Linked DNA regions of Canis lupus familiaris. The protein of the gene in region 4 purifies or fractionates together with the protein of the main gene of each other region. This does not show direct contact. Links are inferred from orthologs where the notes say so. Each region holds a gene or a part of one and is shown on either strand. Other genes may lie near its edges.

The links. The genes of interacting proteins can lie anywhere in the genome.
Region 1: the proteins of NFKB2 (region 4) and CHUK purify together in Homo sapiens (affinity purification with western blotting; 4 studies listed by BioGRID and IntAct, with this or other methods). This does not show direct contact. The link is inferred for Canis lupus familiaris from reciprocal best matches to the Homo sapiens genes NFKB2 and CHUK.
Region 2: the proteins of NFKB2 (region 4) and NFKBIB purify together in Homo sapiens (affinity purification with mass spectrometry; 4 studies listed by BioGRID and IntAct, counting the BioPlex papers as one, with this or other methods). This does not show direct contact. The link is inferred for Canis lupus familiaris from reciprocal best matches to the Homo sapiens genes NFKB2 and NFKBIB.
Region 3: the proteins of NFKB2 (region 4) and FBXW11 purify together in Homo sapiens (affinity purification with mass spectrometry; 8 studies listed by BioGRID and IntAct, with this or other methods). This does not show direct contact. The link is inferred for Canis lupus familiaris from reciprocal best matches to the Homo sapiens genes NFKB2 and FBXW11.

The regions. Positions count from the first base shown.
Region 1 is NC_049249.1:13,186,496-13,190,801, forward strand, and holds the start of CHUK (inhibitor of nuclear factor kappa-B kinase subunit alpha), read right to left. Parts: upstream 2,854-4,306; 5' UTR 2,784-2,853; coding exon 2,679-2,783; intron 1-2,678.
Region 2 is NC_049222.1:115,001,035-115,005,330, forward strand, and holds the start of NFKBIB (NF-kappa-B inhibitor beta), read right to left. Parts: upstream 2,854-4,296; 5' UTR 2,769-2,853; coding exon 2,590-2,768; intron 1-2,589. Other genes in the region: SIRT2 (NAD-dependent protein deacetylase sirtuin-2), read left to right, coding at 3,108-3,233. UniProt on the Homo sapiens protein: Inhibits NF-kappa-B by complexing with and trapping it in the cytoplasm.
Region 3 is NC_049225.1:41,128,580-41,132,674, reverse strand, and holds the start of FBXW11 (F-box/WD repeat-containing protein 11), read right to left. Parts: upstream 2,854-4,095; 5' UTR 2,690-2,853; coding exon 2,645-2,689; intron 1-2,644.
Region 4 is NC_049249.1:15,092,120-15,096,317, forward strand, and holds the start of NFKB2 (nuclear factor NF-kappa-B p100 subunit), read left to right. Parts: upstream 1-1,347; 5' UTR 1,348-1,502; intron 1,503-2,760; 5' UTR 2,761-2,834; coding exon 2,835-2,855; intron 2,856-3,131; coding exon 3,132-3,213; intron 3,214-3,327; coding exon 3,328-3,368; intron 3,369-3,633; coding exon 3,634-3,732; intron 3,733-3,811; coding exon 3,812-3,963; intron 3,964-4,195; coding exon 4,196-4,198. UniProt on the Homo sapiens protein: NF-kappa-B is a pleiotropic transcription factor present in almost all cell types and is the endpoint of a series of signal transduction events that are initiated by a vast array of stimuli related to many biological processes such as inflammation, immunity, differentiation, cell growth, tumorigenesis and apoptosis.

The DNA of each region.
Region 1 (4,306 bases), about 1.9 Mb from region 4:
CCCAATGTATTTGACTACAGTATCCTTTTTTCAAAGCATTTCACAGGACTAATTTTCCCAAACACACTTTGAGAAGTGCTACATTATTCCCTAGGAAGAATTCTTTGGTTATTTTTGCCACTCTATCATAGCAGCGGTTTCGCGCCTGCCTTTGGCCCAGGGCGCGATCCTGGAGACCCGGGATCGAATCCCACATCGGGCTCCCGGTGCATGGAGCCTGCTTCTCCCTCTGCCTGTGTCTCTGCCTCTCTCTCTCTCTCTCTCTCTCTCTCTGTGAGACTATCATAAATAAATAAAAATTAAAAAAAAATTTATAAATATATCTGTTATATAGGTTACCACGCTGTACTTAAAGTGTTTTTGTGTCTACCTCTCCCACTAGACTTGAAATCTCCTTGAGGGCAGAAAATACGATTTTTGTTGACTGGGATACCATCAGCACCCATCCCAGCATAATAATCTGATAAATAAACCATCTCACATCCTTTTCTCTTCCTCATTGTGATTTAAGAGATATAGATAAAATACTGGGGACGTGGCTTCCACCAAAACACAAAGATCTTGAAAACTGTTAAGGGCAAATCCAAAGTCAGGCTTGGAAAAGTAATGAAGCTATTTCCAAGTCTTAGAGTATTTCTTCTCTTTCCACTACAAGCCCCGTTGTCAAATGTTCCAATTTGAGGAAAGAACCAGTCTAGATACCTGGAAAGTTCCTGAGAGATTTCTAGGATTCTAGAGGAACCCAAATCTCTTCCATTTAATAAGTAATTAATTCCATGGAGACAGAAAGTAGAAAGGTGGTTGCCAGGGGGCAGGGGGAGGAGGAAATGGGGAGTTATTGTTTAATGAATACAGTTTCAGACTGGTAAAGTGAAAAAGTTCTAGAAATAGATGGTAGTAATGGTTGCATACCAATGTCAATGTACTTAATGCCACTGAACTGTACACTTAAAAATGGTTAAGATTGTAAATTTCACATTATATATACCTTATCACAATTTTTTTAAAAAATGATGTGTTGATCTATTTCCAACCAGTGACCAAGAAAAGCAGTCACAAAGCAAGCTACCAAGCATATATTTTTTTATGACCAGGCTAATGAACAGGCTTAGATAACAACACCAAAGGCAACATTTCACTGGAAGTACTTGGCTCCTTCTTTTCTCTTTAAGTGCCTTATGTACTCTCTGATGGTGAGAATTATTAAATTTACTACTTGTTTAGCTGTCAGAGTACTTAATGCTTTAGTCCTTCACCTCCCATTCTCCCTCTCTTCAAGATGTCCTCCCATGCTCTATCTAGAAAGCTGCTTCACAACATTTCTTCAGCTCCATCACTGACATTTGTCATTGTGACTGCCACACAAACATACCTATTTTTCCCAGGTATACTCCCATGCCCCTACCTCCCATCCTATATTATGGGCTCTCTACCCATACCCCTATTCCTTAAGATTCAAGCAAATCTTGAATTCATTTATTCCCTTTACAAGCCAATTGCATGCATTTGAATAATATTGTAATTGTTCATCTTGTCCCGTGTTTTTCACTCAGATTTATCTTTTACAAAACAGTCCTCCAAGGGCGCCACTTTTATCTTGACGTATCCTTTTTTAAGTTTAATTAATAATGGTAAAGAAGAAAACAAAATAATGGTAAAGAAGATGACAATAGCAACAACACAACAGCAGCAGGAACTAACACTTGAGGGCTTAACTTAGGCCAGGTATTGTACTTAGCTTTACCCATATTAACTTCTTTAACTTTCAAACAGACCTATGATGTATATAACTATCTTACACAAAATACAGATGACAAAAACAAAGGCAACACTGCAAAGATTATCAGTCAAGGGTTAATACCTCTAAAAGGTTTGTGAACATCCTTCAGGAGAGCATGAGCCCCCTCAAATGGCAGCACCTAAGGTGGTGGGGATGTGCAACTGTGCATTTTGCTGGGGAAAGGTTTCATAGCTTTTATTGGTATACTGAAAGATGCATGGCTCAAACATGATTATTAACTGCTGCTAAATGCTTAAACATTTTCAATTAAATTGAAGCAAAATTCCTGACTCCGATGTTAGCTGTCTTCCACCTCACGCCCAATCTACTTCCTTCCCTTAGGAAGCCATGATCATTTCACCAAGCTGATCCTCACACTGTTCCCTACTCAGAACGCATTCCAAGATCTGAAGCCTACTGGATGCTTCCGAAACCTTCCTTGTCTCTTCCAGCCCCTACAAATATCACACAGCCTCCAAGCACACACTTGAACACACATTCCAACAGACAACCCCCTTCTTCAGTCCCGTTTTCTCACCCATTCATGCTCACAATACACACTCTAATGTGGCTCTGCCTCCCACATCCCGACACCCTCTACACTCGGAGACACAATCGCAGTGTCACACTCGGTAAACAGTTTGTCACTTCTTGACGTTCGTACCAAAAGTTCCCCCACAAGAGCTCTATTTCACACACTGACCCAGGACCTCAGATACAGCTTCGGACTCAGTCACCAGACCGACAAGCACAGTAATACACACTCACTCACACAGGCTCACCGGCCCACGGTGCTGCCCAAAGTCTCACCGACAATGTCTCACGTACTGACAGTCGCTGTGTTCCACAAACGCTCTGACAAACACCCACCGCCGCTCCCTCTCTCGCCCCACCTCACCCGATGCTGGTACAGACAGACGTTCCCAAAGCCGCCAGTGCCCAGCCGCTCCCGCATCTCCCAAGGCCCGCCCGCGCCCGGCCGCAGCCCCGGGGGCCGCTCCATGGGGCGGGAGGGCTGGCGGCCTGAAGTTCAGCCACTCTTCCCAGGCCGGTTCCGGGCCGCCGAGACTCGCGCGTCTTTCTTCTCGCGAGATGTGTGCGTCACTTCCGGTAACCGCCACAGGAAAAGCCCTTCCCTAGCTGCTCCCGGGGGCACACAGGAACCTGGCCAGAGAAAGGGTCGGGATGAGGGCAGCTCGCTTCCAGTCCGCTAAGTCTCCTGGGCATTCTCCTGGCTGAGAGAACCCACATAGGATTTCCCAGGCTTCCAAACTATAAGCTCTCCATTCAAGCCATGTTCTAAACTCCACATCGTCTCCACCCTGTCTGCATTTCACCTTTTCTTCAGACCTCTACCATCTATCCTCCAACTCCGCCGCTCGCTGAAGTGGCACTGGCAGAAGCCACCAGTGATTCAAATATTGCGGAATCCGAAAAACTATAAAGAATCCTGCGCTAACACGTCTACCGATGCATTACACTTTATAGTTTTTTTTTTAATGATTAATCATCTTCCATAAAATCAGGCTCAGATCTTTTGCTTGACTTCCTGTACACCTGTACCAGGATCTCGCCTGTAATCACAAAGGACTCAAGGATGTGACACTGTTGTGGAGTAAAGAATGTTCCTCCTGATTTGGGGAATTTTCCCCGAAGTGCCTCATGGAGGTTGCAGTCCAGTGGTCGGTCTTCCATTAATGGGTTTGCCAGTGCAGTGGTTCCTCACTGAGGGAACTGTGTCTGATTCGTGATGCAGCGCTGCAGAGGCAAGCTTCAGGAATGCTGTTGGTGCAACTAGAAGCATTTGCCATTGGCAGATAGCCTTAGCATGGAAGAACCAACCTCCCATTTTCACTTTAAGTTGGTCATATGCCTCAGCCTCACAGAACTTGGGGATCCAGTCAGTATATCCAGAACTGGGTATAAAAATTACTATGGCATCCAGTTCTCTGAAGAAATATATCAGTTACTGCTTCCATAAAGTAGTCATTTGAACACCCCTTGACATCATGTGCACTTGGGCCATCGTTTGCACAGTCCCACCTGTGATCTCAGTACTTAAATTCCAACCAACACTTTGTGACCCACAGATTAACATGTTGAGAAGCCTAAAGATGAATACAGCATGTGCATCACAGCAGTGTTGCTGGCTGCTTTGAAAGCATTGAATTGGCTTCTGGCAGAGAACATGCATCTATTGATTCAGAATCCCTGAATGGTACAACCAAAATGTTGAGCATGGCATGTACAAGCCGTGTTAGGCCTCAGTAATGTGTGGTAGCAGATGATGGATTCCTACATGTGCTTGGTTGCTATGGAGCTGGAGTATCAGACTTGGAGGTGATGGCAAATGGTACTTCCCAAACATCTGCTAGAGTTGGGCAGACTGCACAGATGATTGTGGTACCAATTGCCCCTAACATATAAAGCCCTTTGTCTGCTAGGTGTACTGCATAGCTAGCACTAGAGTATGTTTGATCTCCACAGTTGGAGCCATATTCTTGTAACGCTCACTTGGAAGAGCTA
Region 2 (4,296 bases), on a different chromosome or scaffold from region 4:
AAATTGTCAGACTGAACAAAAAAGCAAAACCCAACTATATATGCTTCCTACAAGTAATACCCTTTAAATATAGGTATTAAAAGATAGGTTAAAATAAAAGGGTGGAAAAAGATATACTGTGCTAACACCAGTCAGTCAAAAGAAAGCAGGAGTGAGTTGTGTTTTTTTAAGATTTTATTTATTCATGACAGACTCACAGAGAGAGAGAGAGAGAGAGAGAGAGAGAGAGGCAGAGACACAGGCAGAGGGAGACGCAGGCTCCATGCAGGGAGCCTGATGTGGGACTCGATCCCGGATCTCCAGGATCATGCCCTGGCTGAAGGCGGCACTAAACTGCTGGGCCACCGGGGCTGCCCAGGAGTGAATATTTTAATATCATACTAGACTTTAGAGCAAGAAATATTACCAAGTATCGAGAAGGTTATTTTGTAATGATTAAGAGGTCAACTAAGCAAAAGAACATAATAATTCTACATATCCATGCCCTAATAACAGAGCATCAAATTACACAAAGCAAAACCTGACAGAACAAGAGACAAATCCATAATGACTGCTGGAGATTTCAATGCCCCCTCCTCAATAATTGATAGAACAAGGAGACAGAAACCATTAGTAAGGATATATAAAATGATAAACCAATAGGACCACTAATTGACTTTTAGAGAACCCTACACCCAACAACAGCAGAATATTCACTCTTTTCAAGTGCACGCATAATGTGTGGCACCATAAAACAATTCTCAATAAATTTACGAGGATCCAAGTCATACAAAGTATGTTCTCAGTCTACAAGGGAATTAAATTAAAAATCAATAAAAGAGAGACATTTGGAAAACTTTCCAAATATCTGGAAACTAAATAACATATTTATTTTTTTAAAAAGATTTATTTAGGGGCATCAGGGTGGCACAGTGGGTTGGATGACCAACTCTTGGCTTCAGCTCAGGCCCTGATCTCAGGGTCATGGGATCACGCCCTGCTCCCAACAGAGCCTGCTTGGGTTTCTCTCTCCCTCTCCCTCTGCCCCCTACCCCTTTTTAAAAGATTTATTTATTTATTTATTTTAGAGAGAGCATAAGCAGGAAGGGCAGAGGGAGAAAGAGAGAGAATTCCAAGCAGATGCCACACTTGAGCACAGAGCCCAATGGGAGGCTCATCCCAGGACCCTGAGATCACAACCTGAGCTCAACCAACTGAGCCACCCAGGCGCCCTAAATAACATATTTTTAAATAATCCACTGGCCAAAGAAGAAATCAAAAGAGAAATTACAAAGTATCTTGAATTAAATGAACATGAAAACACAACATATCAGAATTTGTGAGAGACTGCTAAAGTACTGCTGCTGGAAATTTATACCATGAAACACCAATGTTAGAGAAGAAAGGTCTCAAATGAATGATCTCAGCTGCCACCTTAAGAAACTTTAAAAAAAGAGAGAAAGAAAGAAAAAAAAAAATTAGACCCAAAGTAAGCCGAAGAGGGCAATAATGAAAATCAAAACAGAGATCAATGAAATAGAAAGCAAAAAACCAATAAAGAAAACTAATGAAACCTCAGCAGGGGTCTTTGGAAAGAACAATATTTCCTGCACGCCTCTTATGGGTCAAGCCCTGTTTAGTCACCATGACTGGATGAGTAGACACAAATACACAAAAAAACCCCAGGACAATCCCTCACCGCCCTTTACAATTCTGGTTCCTTCTGCCTGGAGAGTTCTCCCCCAGATACTCTACGGATCTCGTTTTCCTGCTTTATTTTTCCCCCAAAGAACTTATTACCTTCAGATACACTATTTTTCTGCCTTTCCTTTATACTGTTTTTCGTTTTTCTTTGTTTCTTCTTTTCCTTTCTCTTCTTTCTCACTTTGCGTCTGTGTCTTAGTTTCTTTTGTTCCTTCTCTCTCCTCTTTCCCTCCCTCCCTTCCTTCCTGTCTTTCTGTCAGCCTGTCTGTCCTTTTGTCTGTCTACATACGCACCTTAGAATGTAAACTCCACAAGAGCGGAAATTTTTGTCTGTTTTCCTCACTGCTTTATCGCAGCACCTAAACCAGTGCCTGGAACGTGGTGGTGTTCAGCAAATACTTAACAGGCATCAATCCCTGCTATCATGGAGCTTACGTTTTCCCTTTGGATGTAAGATCTGAAGATCGGTGCTCAGAAGGTAGAATGTTAAGAATCAAGGTCATGTATTAATTTTGGAAATCTAAGTTCAAGGCGCATCCATCAGGAGGCTAAGGATCAAGGATCCTATTTGGAGGTAGGAGGTGAGGAGGAGCCTGTCTGGACCACAACTCTAACAAAGGTCTCCGGACTTGGGTCGGGAAGATCAAAACCAGTTTGGGGATCAATGGATAGGGATGTGGAGCAATATGAAGCAGAGCTCAAGAAAGGAAAGTCGGAGAAATTAAGGAGTTAGGGTCAAAGTTGGCTAGGAAATTGGTTTTACTAAAGGTTAGGAGTTACAAATCAGAAAGTCGAGCATCAGAAGTTAGATTTAAGAGTGAAAGGTTAGGGAGCCGGGATAGGAGACTAATAGGGAATCAGAGGTGGGATCCTAGGGCCCCGTTAGGCAGCCTAAGGTTCACTCACGTGTCCCCATCCTCAGTGACGTAGCCAAAGACGAGGGGCGCCCACGACAACCCCGGGCCCAGCTCGGCGCCCAGCCCCGGTCCTCCGGGGGCTGCTGCGTCGGGACCCAGAGAGCCCAGGCCGCTGTCGCACCATTCGTCGGCCTCCGCAGCTTTCCCCAAGCACGCGACCCCGGCCATGGCCCCCGAAGCCTCAGGGGCCCCAGCGGCCGCCCGCCTGTAGCTGGCTTTGCCTGAAGCCCCGGCGCTTCCGCCCTGCGGGGAATTCCCCAACACTCCCCCTTGGCTCACCCAATCAGAATGACCTAAAGAGCACACGCCCCGCCCCCTTACCACACAGTGACCATTCAGAGTATTCAGACGGACTGCGGCTCTCTACCCATTCCCACAGTTTCCGGCCGCCCTTTACCAACATGGCTGCCTGCGCGGAGCCCTCTGGGACTCGTAGTCTCGCCGTCCGTGTCTTCCTAGCCCGAGAGCGGCAGGCGCCGCTGGACGAAAAGCCTGTATGCATCCTCGATGACTGCTGGGAGTCGTAGTTCTCTGCCCTGTCTCTGCCCCTCCTGTTTCCGGTGCCGTCACGGGACAGAGCAGTCGGTGACAGCCCCGAGGGCCCCCGCCCCGCGCCCATGGCCGAGCCGGACCGTGAGTCGGGGGCCCCGGTGGGAGGGTCGGGTCGCACCGGGGCCTGGCTGAGGGCTGCAGGCCCCGGGGCCCGAGGACCGGCGTGGTGGGGCTGGAGACGGGGGCTGCATGGCGGCCAGTGGGAATCGGGGCGGGGGTGGGGGGTCGTTGCTAAGTGATCCATCTTGCCAGGCTGGTGGGTTTCTGGGTCGCGAGATTGTAAGGGTCCTTTGCTACGTCCCCTAAGTTACTAATGACCGCGTGTTTCTCGCACCTCGGTTGCTGAGGACCCTCGTTGCTAAGGACTTAGATTGCCGCGGCCCCGGTTGCTAAGGGTACCTGGTTGTTAGGGGGAACTGTAGGATGCTCGGGGACCCCTGGCGCCCCCTCCTGTCTCGTCCCTCTAGTTCCTGTGCCCCTCCTAAACGTGCTGTCTCCACTGCACCTCCTTTCCTAAACCTGTCTCTGCTAAGCGTATTTTGTTTTCTCTCTTCCTTTTTTAAACTTCCCTCTGTTTGTAAACCCTAACCCTCCCTGCACACACACGTGCTCACACACACACTCACTACTGTTTGCTTCCTCACTTCTAAGTCTTCCTCCATGCCTGTATGCTTTACTTTCTCCTCCCTCTCCCAAACCTTCCTGCCCCAGCCTCTGTCTGTCACTAACCACTTCTCCAGACAGCACTGTCTATCCTAATAAGATCTGCTTTTCCCCATCCCCTCCCTCCCTCTGCTCAGCTTTTACCACCACCTCCCACCCCAGTATAATTAGGTTGGTGGGTCTTCTTGCCCCTTGCCCCTCTGCTTTGAAGCCCTTCATCCCCACTTAACTGTGCCCCGCACTGTAACCACGTCTGCTCCCCCTCCTCCCCCAGCCTCTGACCCTCTGGAGACCCAGGCAGGGAAGGTGCAGGAGGCTCAGGTGAGATTTGGGGAAGGGTGGAGGGAAGGAGAGAAATGGACGTGTTCCCACACCCCACACTCTGGGGGGGGTGGAGGTGGCAGAGGGGAGACAGTTACCCCAGGGCCCTCAGGGCATCACCCCAGCCCCTTGCCCCCACTCCTGGTTCGGCCCCCTGGGA
Region 3 (4,095 bases), on a different chromosome or scaffold from region 4:
AGAAAGAAAGAAAAAGAATCAAATCAAATGAAGTGGAAGGATGAAGATTAAGAAACTGGAGATGCCCAAAAAGTCTGTTTCCTGTCTTTAATATTAGAGCACTCTCTAGAGTATCAAATGAAAGTTATTATCCTGTTAACCATTAAGTACCAGACTGGTACAGGCACCACAATCACAAATATTTAAGTACTGAAGCTGACTCATAAAAATCGAAAACTATTTCATGCTTTAGGCTTTCAACATACCATCAGTTTAACCCATTCCTTTCTTTCAATCATGTTATTTTGAAACCAATATAAAAAGTATTTTTAACCTAGTTCTGGAAACTGTAATTAAATTACAGTGAATACAGGGAGCTACATGCAATTAGATTTTAAGGCATTATCATTCCTACATACAATCCTGGATTTACTAAATCAGTTGTTAAATACCTGTCCTATCTACTATACTAAGATAAATACATATATGGTTATGAAAAGGGTTGCTGAAGAGTCTTAACTGGTATCCCTTTGAAAGAATATCAAAATCTGAATATGAAAAGTCATTTCAAAATTGATCTTTGTTAAATTTTCTGAGAATCCCAGTTTATAATGTCCTTGAAAGGCTGAAATACCTTTTCAGATCATAAACAAGTAAAATCATGTATAATCAAAAACTTTTTTAAAGTCATGAGCATGAGAAACAAATAAATTTAGGACAGAGATTTTTTGTTTTACCATTCAAAAATACTAAATTAATTACACTGTATTTCTTCTATTTCTTTTGAAAATAAAGGCATTTTATTTTTTAAATGGAAATGGAAGGAGCACAGAACAGCCAATTTCAAAGGCACCAAGTTACAGTTTTTCAATATGAAGTACTCCTCCAGTTGTGAGGACATATACTGTACATCCATTAGAATACATATTATATATGGAATTCCAATAAGATATTTTACCAAAATAACCCCTATAAAATTTCCAGAATATCAAAGCCTTCGCTACAATAGTTTGATAAATTACACTAAAAGGGAAAAATTACTTAATGAAAATCGAAATTCACACGTGACAACATCCTTTAAAAGGCAAGCACACGTGTGCGCACACAAAGCAGAACCAACCAAAGCTTTTTTTTTTTTTCCCCCTAGTTTTAAAGAATACTGGCTAGTTCTGTGAATTATGCAAAGGACAGCAAATACTAAGCTGGTGTATTTATGCTACTGTACTTCCATTTTTAAAACACGCATCTCAACTCCCCAGATACCAACCATCATCCACAGAAACCATGCAGCTAGCTATCCAACAGACTTTGTGTCACCATTTATTATTTATAGCATTAAATGAGGGAAGTGGCTCTGATGTCACCGACCCTACCCAGTGGAATCACTGACTCAATAAACATTTTCACACTGGAGAAAATCTGGCTAGGAAAACATTTTGCTGGGTTAAGTAGATTCTTTCACCTTTCCTCTCAACCCAGGGGTAGGGGGTTGTTACTGTGGTAGGAGAGATACAAAGAAACTGTCAAGGTTTCCACAGGAAGAAACCCTGGGCATGTCCGCTGGCTGAGGTAAAGACTTCCTCCTCCCAACTCTCCAGAGCCCGGGCTGATTTCCCCAATGTTCAAATTGGCAGGTAATAGCTGCCATGTTTCTTTTCTTCCACCAAATCATCTACCGAGCACCAAGTTCTTCGCTTCTACTAGCCACTCTCTCGTAGTTCTGTTTCTAAAAACCCCTTCTGGCTCCAAGTCGTAAAATGGAAAGCGGCTGGGGTGTCCTTAGGGCCGGGGAGTCTGGTATGGCTACCAGTGGGCTGTAATAGAAGAGTGATCGCTTCCCCTAGGGGCCTAGGATTCTCTCTTTATTTTTTTAATAAGAAAGAACTGGCGGCAGTGAGGAGGACAAACAACCCCCCCCCCCCCCCATTTTCCCAAAGCAACGCTGGGAAACACCAAGTTGCGGTTTTTCTTTCCTGGGAGATGGAATCCAGAGTACCTGGGGCCTCGCTATGCAAACATCCCTCACCGCGGAGTAGGAAACCCTTTGTCCGAGAAGCCGGACACCGCAGGGGCCGGGAAAGAGGCCCCTGTCCGTCAGAGCCTCAAACCCCAGACCTCCCACCTCCACCCCTGGAGGGCCTATCCCGGCATCCACACAGCCCTGCGCTGGGGAGAGGGTGCTGAGGCCCCTACTAGGACGCGGAGAGCGAGGCCCTGACCGACCTCCTCCGTATCCCCCCCCCCCCCCCCCCCCGCCCACCACCATTTCATTCGGCCTCAGTGGGGCTTGCAAGAAAGGTGCAGGCCTGCGCCGGAGAAACAGAGCGGGGAAATCTCCTTCTAAGAGAAGGAGAATGAGATGCTACAGCGAGCGTGAGCTAAGGCCACAGCATAAGCTAGCGAGGGTCCTTCGAGAGATGGGCCCGGATATAGGACAGAGGGAGGAAGGAGAACCGAGGAGTATGGAGGTGGCCGGGCCAGGTCCGGCCTGAGATCTCGAGGGATCCGGAGGAAACGCGCCAGCCCCGAGGCCAGGGAAAGCCAGGACCCAGGGCCGGGCCAAAGCAGCCGGGAAGGCCCAGGGCGGCCTCGCGCCGGACGCTGAGGCGGGCAGGCCCGCCCGCGGCCGGCCGGACGGAAGAACGGTCCAGCGGGCCTCACTCACCATGAGCTCGATGGTCTTGTCCTCAATCACCGAGTCGGGCTCCATGGCGGCCCCGGCGGCCCCGCCTCGCTCTCCCCGCGCAGCAGCGAACGGCCCGGGCGGAGGAGGCGACGGCGGAGGCGGCAGAGGCGGAGGCGGCTATCTTACCCACTCTAGCTGCCAGCCCGCCCGGGCCGCCGGCAGCTCCGCCCTCCCCCTCGGCGAACGCAGTACGCAGACCGAGGACTACAGCTCCCAGCAGGCGCCGGGGGCCCCGCAGAGCGCTGTGGGAACGAGAAGTCAGTACCGGGCTAATCTCTCTTGGCACCCCGAAGCTGAATTCTGAGCCGAAAGTAGCACTGGACTGTGAACATGGGGCGTGCAAACCTAAAGAATTAAGGGCTCCCTCCAAAGAGGGCCTCGGGAATGCCGCGACTACATGTCCCAGAAAGCCCTGCGCGCGGGTTCTCCTTCCGGCTAGCTTCTCCTGACTTCCTGGCAGCCTCCGGCGACTCAGACCGGGACGGAAACTCAGAGGTAACTCTTCCCTCTTCAGAGATCCTGCCTGTGAGACCGGTTTCCGCACATGCGCAGTCGATGCCGCAGTGCCCAGTCTACGCCTAGGTAGCGAGCGATGGCTAGGGGCAGATGTTGGAGACAGGTGGGTTCCAGGTGCACTAGGAGGGCTTGGGGCTCGGGTGTAGGAGGGACCAGCAAGCGAGGGAACGTCGGGCAAAGGAGGGGCTCTGAGAGTATGGGCAACCCAGAAGTGAGAGGTTCGGAAATGTCGTTGGGGAAAGTGGGTTTATGGCGATGAACTGCGGTGTTGTCTGTACGCACCACGAAGTGGGAGTGACTGAGGGATGAAAGGGAACCTGTGTATACTGAGCCCCTCTTACTCATTCTTCAGAAAATAATTATTTTTTAGACTTTCGGACTCTGCCAGGTCTGAAGTCCGCTCCGAACATTACGAGGAAGGACTCTGTTATCATGGTGCTTAATTCTGGTGGTGGGAAAAGAGTAGGCGCTAAGGAGGACCGCAGCTGAAGACCTGGAGACTCTTAGTGAAGTCGGCCTTCAGCTCTGTGTGAACTTTGTCGGGTCTATCCGCTAACCGGAGACCGTCGCGTACATACTGATTGAGCAAGTTGAGTTTATTACTGGATGCAGGGAGGGAGAATACCCGCCATGAGAAATCCTAGGCGGCTCAGTAAGAGTCGTTAGGTGATTTGGAAGAGGGTTTAAGGAAATGAGGCTTTACTCTGGATTAGATGCTGTCAGGAAGTAGGGATAATTCTGTGATTGGGCATCTCATGCCTGGACCGAGGGAACAGTAGATTGAGGCTGAAGCTGTAATTGCTAAAGAAGCAGGAACCTCCTCATTAACCAGGATGGGGGATGTTGGGTCATTTTTGGTGGTTTGGACACTGTTCATTTTTTTTTTTTTTATCTGCATTCAAATATAATTAAGA
Region 4 (4,198 bases):
TTCTGCTCCCCTCCTGCCAGTGGTCTCACTCTCTCTCTCAAATGAATTAAAAAAAAAAAAATCTTGGGGATCCCTGGGTGGCTCAGTGGTTTGGCGCCTGCCTTTGGCCCAGGGCGTGATCCTGGAGCCCTGGAGCCCTGGAGCCCCAGGATCGAGTCCCACGTCGGGCTCCCGGCATGGAGCCTGCTTGTCCCTCCCAATGCCTCTCTCTCTCTCTCTCTATGTCTATCATAAATAAATAAATCTTTTTTAAAAAATCTTTAAAAAAAAAAAAAGGTCACGGGCAAATTGCTTGAAAAATCAAACAGGGCAGCCCAGGTGGCTCAACGGTTTAGTGCCGACTTCGGCCCACGGCCTGATCTTGGAGACTCGGGATCGAGTCCCATGTCGGGCTCCCTGCATGGAGCCTGCTTCTCCCTCTGTCTGTGTCTCTGCCTCTCTCTCTCTCTCATAAATAAATTAAAAATCTTAAAAAAAAAAAAAACTGAAACAAAAGCCTGTGTTCTACCAGGACTCCACCTATCACAGATATTCAGCCTCAGAGTCAGTATTTTATGAAGTCCAGTGCTGATCTTGTTGCCACTGAAAGTGTTCAAGCGGGGTTGGAAGCTCTATAAAAGGTTATTTCCTACATTGGAGGAAGTTCGAACCGTTTAAGATTTTGGATGCCTTTTCAATTCTAATATTCCAAATCTCCGTGATGGATGAGCAAGATCTGAGTCTCCAAGATGAACACCTCATTTACCTTCCCTGGCGCAGAGAGCCGGAGCTCAGATCTAGAAGTCTCCCTCTGTGACCTTGCCATTTATACAATAAGTTTCAGGTTCAGATGCTCTCTTCGAAGGGAGACGGAGTTGAGACAACACGAGAGGATTACCGAGTCTCCGTGCGCCTCCACCAGGGGCCGCCAGATGGCGCCCCGGGACCAACTGCGAGATCAACTTCCTTCCTCTTCCCCCAACTCTTCCCGGCAGCGGGGGCCCCGCTCCGGGCTGGGGACCCGAGGCCTGGGGCCCCCCAGCTTCCCTCTGGGGTTCCCCGGCTTCAGAAGTGGGCAAGAGTTAGGCGCAGCATGAGCCGAGTAGCAGCAGGGACTGCCAGCTGTCTGGGGGCTGGCGGGGCGGGTAAAGAGACCGGAGCCGGGGCCCTTGGCCGGGAGATGGCGCCCGGTCAGCGAATCCAGCCTGCGACAGGTCCCCCTGCCAGAGCCCTAGCAGTAGCGGCCCGTCATCCTACCTCCCGACTCCTCCGCCTGAGCTAGTATCTCCCCTCTAGGGGCGTGCGTGAGTCGCTCCGGATTGGCTGCACGAGTCCGGAGTTAAACTTTCAGCCAATGAAAAAGGGCACGGGGCGTGACGCACGGAAACGTCACGGGAATTCCCCCCTCCCGGGGGTGGAAAAGGGGCTTTCCCGGCTGGAGCCTGGGTGGCTGTGGAGAAGTGTCGCGACCCGTCCGAGGTGGGTCGGGCCGGAGAGAAGCCGGAACCGGAGCCGCCGCCGCGGTGAGTGGCCGGGACACGGGGAAGGGCGGAAGGAGGGCCCTTAACTAACCGAGGCTCAGGGCTGGAGAGCGGTATCTGCAAGCACACACAGGACGCACACGAACAAGACGTACGGATACTCATCGACATCCTTGTACAAAAAAACAAAACAAAACACGCGGACCCATACGTGCACCTACGCGTATGCGAACGAGTGCACAGCACTGTCCATGCATTCAGACTCGCGCACACGCAAACATGCTCACCCGTGCACAGGTGCCTGGACCCATATCCTTCACGCACGAACTCCTATGTTCACCTGTGCCCTTACATATCAAAACACGCTCAGACGCGTCCACACTGAGAAGTTCACAGACGCTCACCTGCACACAGCCTTGCTCACTGGTACATGCATACTGACACCACGCAAGCACATGGGACGACGCACACTATGCCTGTGATACACACACACGGCCATGGGCCTGGGGCAGGGGGCGTGGGCACCCGGAGCAGGTGCGGTGTGGGAACCCAATGACTGCTGAGATGTTTCGGGGAGAGGCAACAGAAGGGCCCGTCCCAAGAAGGAGACCCTGTTCCTCCCCCCGCCCCACGGCCCCAGAGTCCGTTCTCGGGGCAGAACCCCGGGGGCCCCCGCTGGGAAGAGCCCCCGCCTACAGGCCTTCGGAAAGGAGGCCTTCCTACAGCAGGAATGTCCCCCCAAAAGCCCCCGGGTGAATCAGCCGTGGCCTCCCTCAGGGTAGAAAATCCCAAGGTTGCTCCAGGACAGGGGAGGGGGAGGGGGCGGGAGGCGGGCCTCGCCCCGACCTAAGAGCGTCCCCCACCTTTGAAAGGCCCTCCAGCCCCCCGCACCTGCCCTGGGACGAGGAAGGGGGCCCAATCACCAGGGGCGCCTCCCTGGGTCTGGCTGCCCCTCTGCCCTCAGAGCCGCTGCAAGCTCGGAGGCCGCCGCCGACCTCGCGCCCCTCCCGCCGCGGGGGCGGGGCCAGTGGCGTCATTTCCAGGCCCGCCCCCTCCGGCCCCGCCTCCCCCTGGTATTTTCGGGACTTTCCTAAGCTGTTCTAACTTTCCTGCCGCTTCCCCGGCCCTGCCCAGCCCAGCTCCGGATCTCGCGCTCTGCCGGATCTCGCCCGCCACACCCGGACGGGTGGCTGGAAGAGATCAGACCCTCCCCCAAATCTGGGGCCCACTCGCCCCCCCCTCGTGTCCTGATCTGTCTCTCCCTCCCACCCCCCGTCACTCCCCCCCGCCCCCACCTAAGGCGGGCGCCTGAAACACTCTGGGAAACAGAACCTGGCCGGAGCCACCAGACAGAGCCGGGCCTAGCCCAGAGACATGGAAAGTTGCTACGACCCAGTGAGTCACGCCTCCTGGCCCTAAAACCGGCCGGCTGCCCCCCATGTCTGTCTGTCTGTCTGCCTGTCTGTCGGAGTCCCCTCTGCCCCCCTACACCTGTAATGCCCTCTGATTATCTCAACCTGCTTGTCAGTCTGCCTGCCTGTCTGCAAACTTTTTCCAAGAGGAGCTTTTTATGGGTCTGGGGAGGAAAGGGAGTGGCTACCCAGGGCTGGGAAGTGGAAGGCTCTCCGGTGTCTCAGATTCAGTTGCCACCCTAATCTGTTTCCAAACCAGGGTCTGGATGGCATGATTGAATATGATGATTTCAAATTCGACCCGTGCATTGCAGAGCCCAAGGAGCCAGCCCCAGAGACAGGTTAGTGAGTTCCTTAGCTCCCCTTGTCCTAGAGAGGGGGGAGGGAGGAGCATGTGCCCTCTGACTGGGGGATGGCCCTGAAATCCTGGCTCAGCAAGGCCCCTTTGTCCCCAGCTGATGGACCCTACTTGGTGATAGTCGAACAGCCTAAGCAGGTGAGTGAATGGAAGGGATGGTGTGGGAGGACTTCGGCTGTAGGGACCAGTGGGGTAGTTGTAGTTGGGTGGCCATGGGGAGGGTCACTGATCACGGAGGCCACTTCGGGTTGAAACGGCTGACTGCTACTGATCACAATGGAGGTGTTGTGGTTCAGGAGAGACACTGCCAATTGTGGTCACTGATGGCTGGGAGTGTGACTGGCTTGGGGGGAAAAGAGGGGTCCCTCCTGTTCACATTGTCAATCTGCCCTGGGACGTTCAGCGAGGCTTCCGATTTCGATATGGCTGTGAAGGCCCCTCCCATGGAGGATTGCCAGGGGCTTCCAGTGAGAAGGGTCGGAAGACTTATCCCACAGTCAAGGTGAGTCAGGATGGTGCTGGATGGAGGGTGGGCTAACAGTGTGTTCAGGAGCATTACTGACAACCCTCACCCCTCCCAGATCTGTAACTACGAGGGACCAGCCAAGATTGAGGTGGACCTGGTAACGCACAGTGACCCACCTCGCGCTCATGCCCACAGCCTGGTGGGCAAGCAATGCTCGGAGCTGGGGGTCTGCGCCGTGTCTGTGGGGCCCAAGGACATGACTGCCCAGTAGGTGCCCCCTCATTGCCTCCCAGTCCTAGGCCCCAGCCTGCCTCTGTGAGTTTAGCATCTGACCAAGGAGAGAGACAGGTTGGCCTCAGAACCCCAGGCCCCAAGTGAAAACCAGGAAGGCTTCCTGGAGGAATGAGGGCTGAGCTGAGGCCTGGCAGTAGAGAGGGTGCCTCAGGAGGAAAGAACTGCCTACAAAGCTTCTGACTCCTCCGCCCCCTCCCCCACCCAGATT